Linked DNA regions of Styela clava. The protein of the gene in region 1 interacts with the protein of each later gene in a pairwise test. Links are inferred from orthologs where the notes say so. Each region holds a gene or a part of one and is shown in the gene's direction. Other genes may lie near its edges.

Region 1 (6,890 bases):
TAAATAGCAAAAAGTCACTTGATCGACTATTATATAAATAAATGCCACTTTCTTTTGTGTATCAGGATTTTACCATTTTTCATTGCTATATACCCAACTATGATCATTCTATTAGGGCGCCACCACGCGGAATCCATCGGAAGGTTATTTTGGCTGTTGACTGCTGAGTCGCCCGCCGTGTTGTTGGTTTATAAGGCTTTCTTTTGTGTTCATTTGGAATATGAATCAGCGAAATGTTACAAAAGTTATGTGCCGGTAGCCTACATAATGTTCCTAATGCTGAGGAACGCAAATTGCAAATGCTGAAATCGTACCAGTTTCTCTCCGCTCTGCCGCTGCTCCACTACCGGTACAGCAGTGCAGACTGACACCCCCCTGCACAATACAGCAATATGCTGATATGACCAGGCGTCTAAAATATACCGGTACAGATACGTTTCGTCCTGTGCCGTACTGTTACCTACGTTGTACAAGTAGTCTATGGTAAGTTCTGGCCAATCTGCTTTCTTGATCCCGCTATTCTCACCCTGTTTATAAAGAAATAAAGTATCTATCACTGTCAGCCTATCCTGCTGTGTTCCCTTATTACTGTATTACAGTACTGCATTATTAATTATTGCTTTATTTAGTTATTTTCTTATACAATGATTGTATTGTCATGATCATTTCTGCTTGGTTTACAGACTTTTCGACACAAGCTGTTTCGTCCCGCACAGCCTTAGCCTTTCCAACTACTGACAGACTGAACTACTCGATGGCATTAATCTATTAATTATAAGGTTTACTGGTTTCAGGAGTCGCCGTTCTTACCACTTCATGGCAGCTCCCGCCACGAACGAATCGTGGCGTCTCTTGCCATGGCGCTATTCAGTAATACCGGTATATTCACAAAGTCGTGTACCAGATTTTAGTTTATCATGCGGAATTATATCTATTTAAACCTCAAATCTAACCTCAAATCTATCCAAATTGTATTTATAAAAAAAATGTTCCAACCTACAGACCTACCCAATATTTATTACCATTAGGGGCAGCCCTACCATTACAGCCGACATGCCCTGTTTATGGCAGAAAAATTTTACCCGCCTTTGGTTTTCAATTTGCTGTCGCGGTAACGGCAGCTCGCCATTGGTTTGTGGCAGCTAAAAAGTCAGTTGCCATAGGTTTGGCTATAGCGGCCATGGTTTGGAAATCTTGCCATGGTTTTGCGGCAGCTTTAGACGCCACAAAATACTTGAAACTGCACTTGGGTTTCAGGTTTGAGTGACTGATGACTGATATCCAGTTGCTTTGCATTGTAAAGGAGACACAGAGATTTATTCACATATATTTGTTTAAAACAGACCACAGTTGTGATTTATTCTCGGCGATGTGGCCCCTGATTACCCTGCGCGGGTTCGCAGAATCCTGTGGGGGTTAACTATGTGCAAGAGAATGGCTGAACTCCTTGTCACCGGAGGGTGGTTCGCGTATTAATAGCTGCTGGTTGTTTACGGCTTCTTCCATCATCAACTCCCAATGCGAATGTCAGTTGGGCACAGTTCTCCGATTCCAAGATGTCCCGACATTTGGTTCAATAAAACAAACACTCTATTTGTGTCTGAAACGAGAGTGCTGGCACAAAGGCAGTTCTGCAGATTGCGCCATGCTTGTCTCAATAATGATTTAACATGTGTCAGCCATCACATGACCGAAATTCTCCCCTGCCGATGGTTTTTTGCTAAAATGAATGCTAGGGTAAATTTTTCTCTTCGGTAAATGGGATTATTTTTTTCAAAGTAAACCCATGGTAACGTTTTTAGATTGCGCTTCATCTTAGTTTATAAGACTGTTTCGTAAAGGAAGAGTCTGCATTCACTGTTATAATTGATGTCTTTTATGTTCTAATTGATGTCTGATGTTGAGTGAATTTAATAACATACCCTAAAATTTTGCCTTGAACCAGTTTTACGAAGGAAGAATATAGTACTGTACATGCGCAAAATATGATATACAGTATTTGAGTCTGGGCAAACCTGATAGCGCTTATTATTTCGTAACAAATGAAAGTTTAATCGCTGCCAAGGTTTAGAAATGAACGTGCCGAATGTCGTATGTCTTGACTGAGAAACGATCTTACAATAACTTCTGCAGTATGCGAAAGTTATTGTCTCACTCCAAGAGTAGTGTGATAAATTGTATTCACAACGACAGCAGTGGCATTAGAATGCCAAATTTTTTATAATTCCAAGTTAGCGAAGACTGTAAACTAGAGGGCAATTGTAAATTAGAACGGAAGTTTAAGCAGTTGTGTAACATATATGGTTTGAGAATATTTATTTTTCGCTGTTTAAATAATATGGATACTTGGCAAGATTTCTTGAGGAACATTTAAGACTGAAAATTAGGCATGCTGTAGATCTGAATCGTATTACTCAATAAATCTCAAATAAGCGATGAAAATTTACTCCTGGTACAATTACATTAACAAATAACATGGAACGATTTTTATTGAAAATGCGCCTACAGAGCCGACCTTATTGGGGCGTTGGAATTTTTCGTATGCGTGTGTGCAGTGCAGTCATTTGTATATTCAGTACCCATTAGTTATATATATATACCCATGTTACTGATCAGTCGATCGCGAGCTATTTTGAAGATTTTAGTCGACCGCGGTCGAAAGCAGGTTGGCCACCCCTGCTATATATGATAAATTGTACAAAATTTAAAGCTAAAGGGTGAGCAAATTTTAATTACTGAAAAATAGCCACTCAAAAGAATATATAGACAAAAATATAATGTAAATGGGAAATTTGCTTGTGCAGAATTTTGTCAAGCGAGCTATTTGGCGGTTACTGCACTCTAAAATCTGGCATGGAATACTTTTTTTTTCATTTTATGATCATCATTAATAATGCAAAATCTTTGATCATCATAATATAATAATATTATTGTGTCTATGTATAGCAAATGGTAGTTATTGTTTCTTTTAATTCTGCAATCGCCTTTGAGATATCTATATATAATATATGAGGCATTGCTTAGGTTTAGCATTAAGAATGGAAGGTATAGGTAATACCCAGAAATGGCCAAAATGCAATAATTTACTACTGTATTCCAAGAACATTTTAATACAATATACCCAAATGTGGAATACCAAATATATTTTAAATTCGGCATTTTGGTATAAAGCTGTTGTTAGAAATATTTTTCTTTTTAATTACTAGACCTATCGCTTTGAAATTTTCAGTGGTTGAAGTTCACTGTTGTCGATGTATATTCAATAATTGGTTTGAGTTTGAAAGTAAAAAAAAGCTGAGATACAGTGAGACTTGAACTGTTCTAAATGATGACTTTTCAAATACAAATCGATCTGAATCAATTCTAAAATCGAGAATTCGCATGATATTCAGTATTAGTTGTAATGGAATAGAAGTAAACTGTAGCAGTTTGTTTGATTCATATTAATACTGCTATGCTATTTTATCATGAACATTTTTGAATAGTGATGATTTTTAGGGTTATCAGCTGTTGGTGAATGTGTAGTGAACAACTGTATCATGAATCATGATTAATACTTTTTTGACTGAATGTAAATTGTAACCGACTTCCTGTTTGGCTGAGTTTATGGTACTCTTGCCAATATTTCTGATCACCTTCTTTAGTAATATTTTCCAATACCTTAGATTAAGTTTTTTCAGGAATTGAGCTCAAGGTGCAAGGGTTCTACGCTAGTCAACAATATACCCCAGACTTCTTAGTAGGATGTCAACTCTTCAGAATTCATTAGTTATGTTTGAATGATTAGTCAAATTTATTCTGCATAGATTACTTCATGTTATATTATTTTTATTTTATTAAAATTTGGTTCTGATTAGAAAAATTAAATATAACAAAAACTCTTTCTTTCTTGATTTATAGTTCACATTCACACTATTATAGTTTATATCGTTTGAGGTAAATTTAAAGCATGGAACGTAAGGCTTGTGCTGAGGTGGTGAGGGGACAAGTTTTTGATGTTGGACCAAGATATTTAAACTTGTCATATATTGGAGAAGGAGCCTATGGAATGGTTGTGTAAGTATCTTATTTTCAATACAGAATTGCTACACTGGCAAATAGGTCAGCATTAGAGTTTTTTATTTACTGTTAATGTAAAGTTGGATTTTGTAATAATGTTCTTCTGATAGATATAATTTTCATATTTCAAATGTAGGATACTTGTGTGCGATACTTTTTAATATTAATTATTCCTAATTGATCAATACATATACTATAATTGACTCGCAATAACATTGCAAATTTGCAATAGGGCAAATTTTAAACTAAATTATTTCCCGGTATTGGATATTCATAGGGTGATGTACTTGAAATTTCAACTTCAATTCAAAATAAACTTGAAATTCATAATAAGTTTGTCATCTCGAATTGTTATCTCAAAATATCCGTTAGTTGGATATAGTGTGCATATCAAAGTTTTATTAATATTACTAATTCAGAAGGGTATAAAATATCGATCATGATTATGAGCAAGATTAACCCTGAATAAGATTTATCAGTATTCCGAGAATTATTTTTTCCTCAGCATTTTCATCATATGTTTAGCAGCTCAGTACCTGATATTGTTGTTGTCCATAGTCAATATGATAAATATGTAACATTTTAAATCCTGTATGGGAACTATTTTTCTGAATTCATTGATACTACAATCAATTCTCAAATGCACTTGTATTCTGTAATATAATGAAGTAATAAAAAGAAGATGAATATAGATCTAAAGCTTTGTCATAATACAGTTTCTTCAAACATAGGGTAGAGTTATGAAAGTCAAATATTTACACATTATGTACTAGACATTTTCAACTAATAAGAAATTGTTTGCCTAAGAATACACTGGATAAGATTGTCGTCACATGCTTGATAATATTCAATATTATCATGATCTACCCCTAACTGCTGGTCATGTTGAAATAAAGTTTCTTTGTTTTTATGGACAGAGTACTTGTTTTGAATCTAACATAAAAGTTTCACATGTAATTTTTACAAGTGTACTGTCATTTTCAAGAGAGTGTTCAACTGTATTATAAATAGTTGCATATTACTTAATGGTAACTTATTTTGAGGAAAATGCAATCAAAAAGAATATTGTATATTTTTCTTACAGATTATTCAAAAATGTGTTTTATTTTTGGGTAGTATAGCCATATTCATACAATTCAGATCAAACGAAATTGAAAATCTTGATAAATTGGACTTGGAAATTATGGTATTTGAAAACTTTATTCGATAAAAAGTCATTGCATGAAGAACTGGTAGAGGGAATAAATTATTAAATAAATTTATTCCACGAAAAAAATTATATTCTTGAGCTCAGGTGACATACGTCAACTGTCACATGACCAAAATATTTGCACTTGTTATAAACTCGAACTATGGTTTAGGTCTGCAATGGACACATTCAAAGGAACAAAAGTGGCTATCAAGAAAATTAGTCCATTCGAGCATCAAACTTACTGCCAGCGTACTTACAGAGAAATCAAGATATTGCTCAGTTTCAACCATGAAAATATTATTACGATCAAAGACATCATTCGGTCTGCCAATATCGCAAACATGAAAGATGTGTAAGTAGATTTATTTAGTTATAGTTCAAACTTCATCGATTTCACATACATTTTCCAGTACTTATTAACATTGGGCTAGGTCATATTCCTCAACACGAGAAAATAAGTAGCCACTGGATCCCGATTTTCAGTAAGATATTGACTGTTGAGTGATGTGCACTTCAAAATTTTTTCTGTTATATAAAGCCAGAATTTGAATCTTCAAATTTTTCTATTTTGTTCATCAAAAAATTCAAAGCTAAATGTGAATATCCATAATTCAATAAAAAAAGTTTTTAGTCAACATCTCTTTCATCATAAAGTTGATAACGAAATTTGTAATACTGTATGTCCCACAAAAAAATGAAAATCAGATATTTTAATCTGTTAGTTGATTTCAATAAATTGGTGTAAAACTCTAATTGAAGTTTTTAAATTTACGCTATAAAAACACTATTTACCACAAATTTTTATATACTCGACATTTAGAATTCATCATTTTTGTTCTTAGTGTTGCTCTTAATCTTTAATTTGAAATGACCCTTCTAAATTTTTACCTCCTTATAATACATCATATTATCTATAACTCAATTTAGACACATAGTGCAAGATTTGATGGAAACCGATCTTTACAAACTGCTAAAAACTCAGCATTTGAGCAACGATCACATTTGTTACTTCTTGTACCAAATCTTGAGAGGATTGAAATACATTCATTCAGCTCATGTGATTCACCGTGATTTGAAGCCGAGCAATTTGTTGCTAAACACCACTTGCGATTTGAAGGTGATTATTACGTGGTATATATTGATTTATTGCAGTTTCATGAAAGCATGATGTGAGTCATGTATTTTATAGCGATGATAGTGAAGCAAAATATATGAATTCATGATGTGTGATCACCTTCCTATTTGACAGGATGTCAACATAGGCTTGGTGGTAGTACACTTAACTAATAAGGTACTAAATAAGAGTGTGGATGGTCAACATTTTTAAAAATGCAAAAATATGAATGAAATCATGCTACTATATTATTATATCATAATTAAATAAATCCACCTCAGGTTTTTTTCAAATAATAATCAATTATGTCAAATATGCCCCATTTTTCAAACTATTTAAACTATAACCATGGGTGTGATGGCCTTGTGGGTAAAGTGAACGACTTTACTATGTTAAAATTGCTGGTTCAAATTCAATGCCCACCACTTCACCTAGAGTGTAATAAATTGAGTAGGTAATGCCAAATCGGAAAGATTCCGATACTTTCAAAAACTAGTAATTTATTAACTAGAATATCGGTTAGAA
Region 2 (8,006 bases), on another chromosome or scaffold:
ACGTAAAATATTTTGAATTGGTTTTGTGTTTCATCCAAATCGATAAATGTGAATGTCATCTCGAGGAAAATAAACTTTTCCAAAAAGCGATTCTCGAAAGCATCCTCTTTAAAATATGTTACATTTATACGCTATGTTTGGAAATACATACGGCCATGTAAAACCGTGCTACTGTTTTGCCACGATAAAATCGAATCTATTACGTCTCCCCTCTATTCCCAGTGTGTCGTATTACTGCCTTTATAGGAGGTTTTCCGGAAATCATCCAATCAAAATTTTAATTTTCAGAATTAAAAAAAATCCACGAAAGGACATATAATGTTTATTGTTATTTTGTAATACCTGCAACTTATTCCATGTGTATAAACGTTCAGTATCAGTGTATGCGAAAGTAAAAAAGATAATTGTTCAATTATTTAGTAAATTTAGTTGAAATACAAAACCATACTTAACTATGATAGATATATATTTTTCATAAAATTATCGGAATATACGCCATGTTTGGTATTATATATGGCCAGTTCAAAACGTGCTGCTACAATTCTGAAATGATGAAATCGAATTTATATGTTTTTTATTTCCTTTTTTTGTCAATATATCGTAATGCTGACTTTATTGAAAATTTTCGAGAAACCGCCCATCCAAAACTTTAATTTTTCGACATTTCCAAAAGTACCCACGAGAGAACGTTAAATGTTTTTTCCCCCTATTTTATACTCTCCGATACTTCGATATCAAATATTTAAGGTTTCTTCGCAGCGACCGTATTTTGTCACCCCTAACCTGACACCACCCAACGACCGTATTTCGTCACCCCCAATCTGACATGCACCGACCGTATTTCGCCACCCCTAACTTGACTCGACGGCCCTATTTCGTCACTCCCATTTTGACACACAACGACCGCATTTCGTCACCCCTATACTTGCTTTAAATGTATTAGACGTCCAATATCGCTGTATTAAAAAGTAAAAAGATAATTGTGGTAAATTAAGTTTAAATACAAAACCACGTTTGACTATGATACATATATATATATTTTCCTAAAATTACCGGAATATACGCTATGTTTGGTAGGTTTGATTAGGTCCAGTTCAAAACGTGCTTCTACTATTCTGACATGCAGAAATTAAATCTTCGGTTTCTTCGCAGCGAACGTATTTCGTCACCCCCAATCTGACACGCACCGTCCGTATTTTGTCACCCTTAATCTGACACGCCCCGACCGTATTTCGTCACCCCTAACTTGACTCGACGATCTTATTTCGTCACCCCCAATTTGACACGCAACGACCGCATTTCATCAGCCCTATTTGGACACCGCCAATGTGACTTTTGTGCTACCACCCCTGTAGCTTTTTTTTTGTCAAAAATCCATCGTGCGCTTTATAAGCGTGTATTCTATGCCGCCCTAATGTATGGATCGGGTAGTACTTTGGTCTTTTTTGATTACTCTAAAAACAAGTACTATTGTTTTATAAACAAAATATTGATTTTTTTGTGTCTAATGAGCTTTGTACGGTAATTATAATTTCATGATAATTTAAAAAAGCTTTAAACAACGCGATTACAATTGCTTGTTTTTAGATTTATGACACAAACAACGAGTACGATAGAATCCAAGGTAGAGCTGCTACATTTAATAAAAACAACGAAATAGAAGCAATACTCATATGATCGCGAAATTCAACGATCAAAACAGTATTCCCGCCAATTCGGGTAAAACATCACAATTTTGGATGAAATATTTGGTATCATGGTATCCTCAGAAAAAATTACAAATAAAAGTAATAGGCTTCTAGCGAGTTCTCGCATTTTATGTATTGAAAATTTGAAAGCGAATTTCTATAACAATCACCCCAAACGACACCAACAACAATTCAAAATTTAGCATTATTTTAGGAATTATGTTTATTTATTTTAGACATGAACAGTTGTATTCCTTGCAATCCCTGCAAGGCTTTATGTGGCGCGCTATCGGACTTTCCCAGCGTCAGTGCCTTTCACTAAGTTTTCCTCACACTGCAAAACCACCCGATATCAACAAATCTACAGAAAAACATGCGCGTTAGCTGCAGGCTAAATAATCACCATTCTTCGATGAAATAGAAATTCGTCAGAAATTTTATCTGTGACGATCGTCGAACCAAAACCAAAGGGATATTTGATGTACAAGAGTACTGCAATGAATTTCTTCCTCGTCGTCGCCGTTATTATCGGTATTTCTGTGGCCGAAGATAATGCTAAATCAGGTGAGCTTTTATGTTGTATTATATTCTCTTCGTGTGTGTGATTTTGTTACGTTTGGTTCTCCATTATTTTATCTACAATCTTAGAAAATAAACGTAGTTTAGCTGATAGCACATAATTGGGCTGTTTCGTTGATAAATTATAACATAACAGATCATCTTAAAATTGTTTTAAAAATTAAATTAACAAAAACTCAATCGATCGTGAGGATGAATCTCAGTGCTTGTTTATATTACATTTTTGATCCCATCAAGATGGGTCGAAATTATAAGTGTGATTATTCTACAGTATTTATGAACGAAATTATTTCCGTTTGTATGTTTCGTATTTTAATGTAATTTTTGCCGGTATTGAAACTGAGCTTCACAGCATTCGCTGGAGGGCAATTACTTTCTGACGCGTTGTTGAAAAGGTCGAGAAAAATAGAGACACTGTTGTTGACATACCTGTACGTAGATTGGGTGAGAAACAGGTAGTATAGTTTTGACAGATTTATTTACATACCATTACTGGTTTCAGCTTCTAATTAGGGTTCAATAACAAAATTGACAGATTCAGAATCAATGTATTATATTACACGACTGACGCGATAAAAACGTACTTAATACGGGAACTGATTCAGTAGCGACGTTCGGCCGTCAGTTGTCGCTGAAGAGTTCGTTAAATATGGTGGTGGGAGACCAATGTTGATCCTATTTTTTTGGTCGCTTTTTATTGGTTAAAAACTGTTATGATTAGGATATTCTATCATATATGAATACCGTATATTATAAAAAATATTTAGTCTTCAGTATAGTGTGCATGTTTCCTTAAATGTATTTAATTGCCGTGATACCTCGCTCATGAAAGTGCACTCCAAGCACCTCCTGTACACAAAGACTTATAATAGAATAAGGAGGGGAAATCACCAATCCTAGGCGTGGAAGCAGTCAGTGGGGGTATCTTTCTGTTGTCGCGCAGTCGTGTTTTCGAATCAATTGTTCAATTGTCGTAATTGAATGATTCTTTTTGAGTTTGTAGTATATTCCAGTGTTCGTTAGACAGTTCTGTAGTTCTGTATTTGTTTTTTTAGTTCTGTAGACTATTTGGACAACGCATATCACAATCCAGTGATCAGATACCGGTACCGTAATAAGTATAAGTTTATTAATGGGTTTAATTAGTTTAATAATGAAGACTGAAACTGTCTGTGAGACTCTAACTAAATCTTAGAATTTTTGGAATCTTTCTAGTACTTAACTGTTGTAGTGCTGATTACTTATTACTGTACTATGTTTGTTATTTCAACAAATATAGAAATACTGAAATAGCAGAATTCTGTATGCAGGTATGAATGCAAGTTCATGCATCTGACTGTCAAAAACAAAAATAACTGGAAAACAATGACAAAAAATAACTAATCCCATATCGAAATGGACTAATAACTGCACGAGAGACTGTCATTCGCCATATGATTACACCATCTTATCACTGTATCACCTTTTTTCTCTCTCAGGATGAATCCATTTCATGTACCTTAAAATGCCGGGTCTGGTATAGTTTAGTACCACATGTACTTCTAGTTGACCTGGCTCAACAATTTTTGCATATGTCAATCCTAACCCCCACCTGACTACGTCACCGAAAAATTACGTCATTTTGACGTCACAGTGGCGTAATAATGCCCACCGAAGTATGCGGATGGTTGTCCAAAACGCGCAGACGATCACCCGAAATCGAGCAATCAATTTCTCCCGTTTTCTCGTCACAACGATCACGATAGGAGAGAGATCGCCGGCTTTAGCAAGTTCGTTATCAGCGGCGCAGATGTCATTTCGGGCGATCGTAATTATACTTTGGCAATCCCTATGACGTGATGGTGACGTCGTAGTGACGTAATTTTTGGATGGCACAGTCAGGTGGGGGTTAGGAATAGCATAAGCAAAATTCGTTATGCTACGCCCACCGGAAGTACTTGTGGTACTAAACTATACTAGACCCAAAATGCTGTAGATGTGTACCTACTCTGTATGACACAAGGCAGAACGATTTAAAATTCCTTATTCCAGTATTCTGTTATATCTAACCCATCATGACTGGGGTCTCATGTCAGCATGTAGTTTTGTACCTAACTTACTTCTAGTGGGCATAGCATAACAATTTTTTCACGTGTCAATCCTGCAGACCTGACTATGCCATCCCAAAGTTATGTCACTACGACGTCACATTCACGACATAGAGCTCATACGATCGCCCAAAAATGGCATGTGCGTCGATGATAGCGACTCACTAATGGCAGCGATCTCTCTCATATTGGGATCGTTGCGACAAGAGTTGCTCGATTCCAGATGATCGTCTGCACATCTTGGATGATAGTTCATATAGTTTGACCTCTATTGCGTCACTGTGATGTCATAGTGCCATAATTTTTAGATGACCCAGTCAGGTGGGGGTTAGGATTAACATATGCAAAAATTGTTATGTAACACCCGCTAGAAGTAGTTTAGGTACGAAACTACACTGGACCCCAAGATTGTTGCATACTAGTAATTTATAAGTTCAGTAGTTATCACCAACAAACAAAAGCATGATTGCAAGGTCTGATGGTAGTGGATAGTGGAAATAATTTAGGAACAGGTTATACTGCTGTGTATGTGTGTATAGAATTTTATAATTCAGTAATAGCATGATTGGAAATGCAGTAAATGTTTTGAAGTGAAAGACACCCCTTTTCCATTATTGCCTAACAATGCATTATAACATTGCTATGAATTGTATTAACATTCCTAATTCTTTAGCAAATTACAAATATTAAAAAAATAAATTGGATGGTGTTGATGACTTAATGTTGGTGAAATTCAATTCACTGTGACAATGATGAAAAGCAGAACGATGCCGAGAAATCCAGTCAAATCTGGGATACGACCTCTTTCTGAAATATGTTCGGATTGTGGAGCTCCAGATGCTAACTGGGCATCAGTGAATCGTGGTGTTTTGATGTGCAATGATTGCGCAAGTGTGCACATGACTCTTGGACGACATATTTCCCAAGTGAAGCATCTGCATAAATGCACCTGGCACCCAAATATGCTCAGCATGGTGCAACATCTAGTGTCTGCGGGTGCAAATTCTATTTGGGAACACTCGCTGTTAGATCCTGCTCAAATGCGTAGTGGAAAAAGAAAACCTAATCCTAATGACAATATTCACCCAACAAAATCCGATTTTATCAAATCCAAGTATTTGAATTTGTCTTACGTTCATCGCTTACCACTCAGAGAAGATGAACATCATGACATTAGCAAACAGCTTCATTCAAGCGTGAGAACTGGTAACTTGGAAACATGTTTACGACTTTTATCTCGTGGCGCTCAAGCAAATTTTTTTAGTCCAGAAAGAGGAAATGCACCGCTTCATGTGGCATCGAAAGTTGGGCAAAGCCTGCAGGTTGAATTGCTTGTTGCTTATGGAGCGGATCCTGCTATACGAGATTCAAATGGTAAAACACCTGAAGACATAGCCAGAGCTGAGAATCATAATGATTTAGCCGATCGATTAGTTGAACTTCAGCATGAACTATCTGATAGATTCACTGAGTTCGTTTGCAGTCAAACTCCAGATCATAAGGCTGGAAAGCATTATCTTTTACCTAAGATAAAGGATGCTTGTGTGATAAGCCCAGAGGGTAAGCGGCGTCTTCGAGCTCTAAACAACCAAACATTCGGGGAATTAGCTATGGATGTTTATGATGAAGTCGACCGTCGTGAATTGGAACGAGTTTGGCAAGAAATACAGAAGGGAATTTTATTTCCTGGGAAAGGCACAAACCCAGCATTACAAACCGAGGTTGTTCCGTTTCTTCCAGTTCATCCAGATTATTCAACGACTCGTAACCAGGGTCGTCAAAAGCTAGCAATTTTCAAAGAAGCTGAAATGAATAATTTAATCTGTGATATTCTACATGAAGTCACTCGAAGACAGAAAATTTTTGATCCTATTCCTCCAGAAGAAGACCCGATTTATGACATTCCACCTGATGAAGAATTGAATTACTTTGCAATCGAGAAATCTATTGAGCCACCTAAAGAAACTGTACCAAAGGAAGAGTTTCTCTCAATAAAAGCAAAATTAGAGGAGAAAAATGCTGAATGTTTGAGACTCACTGAACAAAATCGTGAGTTGTCTACAAAAGTCACAGCACTGGCAAAACAGAAGATTGATTTAACTAGAAAAATTCAAACGTTGCTTTCTAATGTTCCACAGCTAACCCAATCTGCCAAGAGCACGCCCCAAGCAGCGCACCAAAGTGATTTTACAGCACTGCCTCGAATCGGACTTCAGAGTCCTACTGCTAGACCAAGTTCTGTATATAATCCGAATGACTCATCAGGGAGTACATCGTCATTGCACTCGACTGAGAGTTCAGAGTTACGTCGTCGTACAATTCATGTTGATCATCAAGGTGCCACTGGTGAGGACCTTCAACAATCAGCAAGTCCATTAGTTACCAAGCATGATGCTGTTGCTGCGGCTGATAGCCCATCACATTGCAGTAATGGGAGTGAATACGATAATAACTCCGTTGCAAAAGACGAAGCCAAGTCTGAAACTACAGCAACGTCTGAATCGAAAACTACTGGCAAAGATGCAGAACCTCAGCAAACCAATTTAAATGCAAATAATAATCTTCCGCAACCAACAGCTCCTCTAGCACAGCCTAGGCCTGATTTAGTCTCTGAGGACACAGCTAAAGCCTCAGAGCCTCAGGAAGAAGCGCAAGAAAAAACTACTCAGAGTAATTCAAGTAGTCCTCATTCACAAGTGGATGCAGAGGAGCCAATTATTTGGCCGGAGCGTCAAGCGTTGATGAAAAAAACAGAATTACTTACTCGAATGATACAAACCTTGCTCCAAACAGCTCAATTGAAGAAAGTCGATTCCTATTTAGAATGTGCAGAGAATATTCTATCTGCAGTTTCAGAAGTTATTGCTCTATTCGACAAACCTCACCTGCCAGCAATAAAATCAGTCTTATCATTGATATGTGAAAGTGCTCACAAGCTCAGAAATCGTTGCAAAGACACACCACCGGAGCATAAAAGTAAAGCCGATAGCCACAAGCATTTGACGGAGGAAATTATTGCTTATGCTTATGAAGTTGCTAAAGCCGAAAAGCAACTTGTTATGATGGCACCTAAGGAGGAAACCGAGCCTTCAACCTCAAGAGCTGAGGCTTGATCGTAAGGTTTATGACTGTGGAACAGTAATCATGGGAATTCGTGTTTTTGCCATTAATCCTACAATTATTAATCATGATAGAAAAGATGAAATGCTTGCAGTAGATAAAAATCTTTAAATTTCTATCATCAACATGCATGAACAGTTTTGTTTTGTTATAATGCCATTTCTGTTTCAATGCTTCATAAAGAATGGACAGTTTCTCTATTCAATGGTCTGCAATACGGCCATGTCAACTCACAAGGCGATAAGATAACAATTTTATATATTCCAAAATATACTCAAGACTACTATATTAAACGTATCTTCAAACTGTTAAAATATGTTGATAAATATTATTTAACTGGGGGGACAGTTTGTAACTTCTAGGCCGAATATCAAAAGTGGCCATAGGTCTGAGAAGTTTGGGAACAATTGGTTGAGAAATTGAATTAATTTCTAATAGAAAACAGTGATTCTAATTAGTTTTCAATTTTTGTTAAATAAATATAGAAACAGAATTATTCTACTCGATAGCTGAATTAGTTGAGAAAAAGATT

Evidence for each region. The genes of interacting proteins can lie anywhere in the genome.
Region 2: the proteins of mitogen-activated protein kinase 1-like (region 1) and ARF GTPase-activating protein GIT2-like interact in a two-hybrid assay, tested with the Caenorhabditis elegans proteins (3 studies listed by BioGRID). The link is inferred for Styela clava from reciprocal best matches to the Caenorhabditis elegans genes mpk-1 and git-1.

The regions. Positions count from the first base shown.
Region 1 is NC_135252.1:7,506,292-7,513,181, reverse strand, and holds the start of mitogen-activated protein kinase 1-like, read left to right. Parts: upstream 1-3,882; 5' UTR 3,883-3,949; coding exon 3,950-4,056; intron 4,057-5,420; coding exon 5,421-5,603; intron 5,604-6,178; coding exon 6,179-6,368; intron 6,369-6,890. UniProt on the Caenorhabditis elegans protein: Functions in let-60 Ras signaling pathway; acts downstream of lin-45 raf kinase, but before the lin-1 gene product in controlling vulval cell differentiation. Plays a negative role in proximal germline proliferation in the mitotic zone.
Region 2 is NC_135260.1:6,658,737-6,666,742, forward strand, and holds the start of ARF GTPase-activating protein GIT2-like, read left to right. Parts: upstream 1-5,005; 5' UTR 5,006-5,103; coding exon 5,104-7,467; 3' UTR 7,468-8,006. Other genes in the region: uncharacterized protein LOC120346911, read left to right, coding at 2,168-2,252.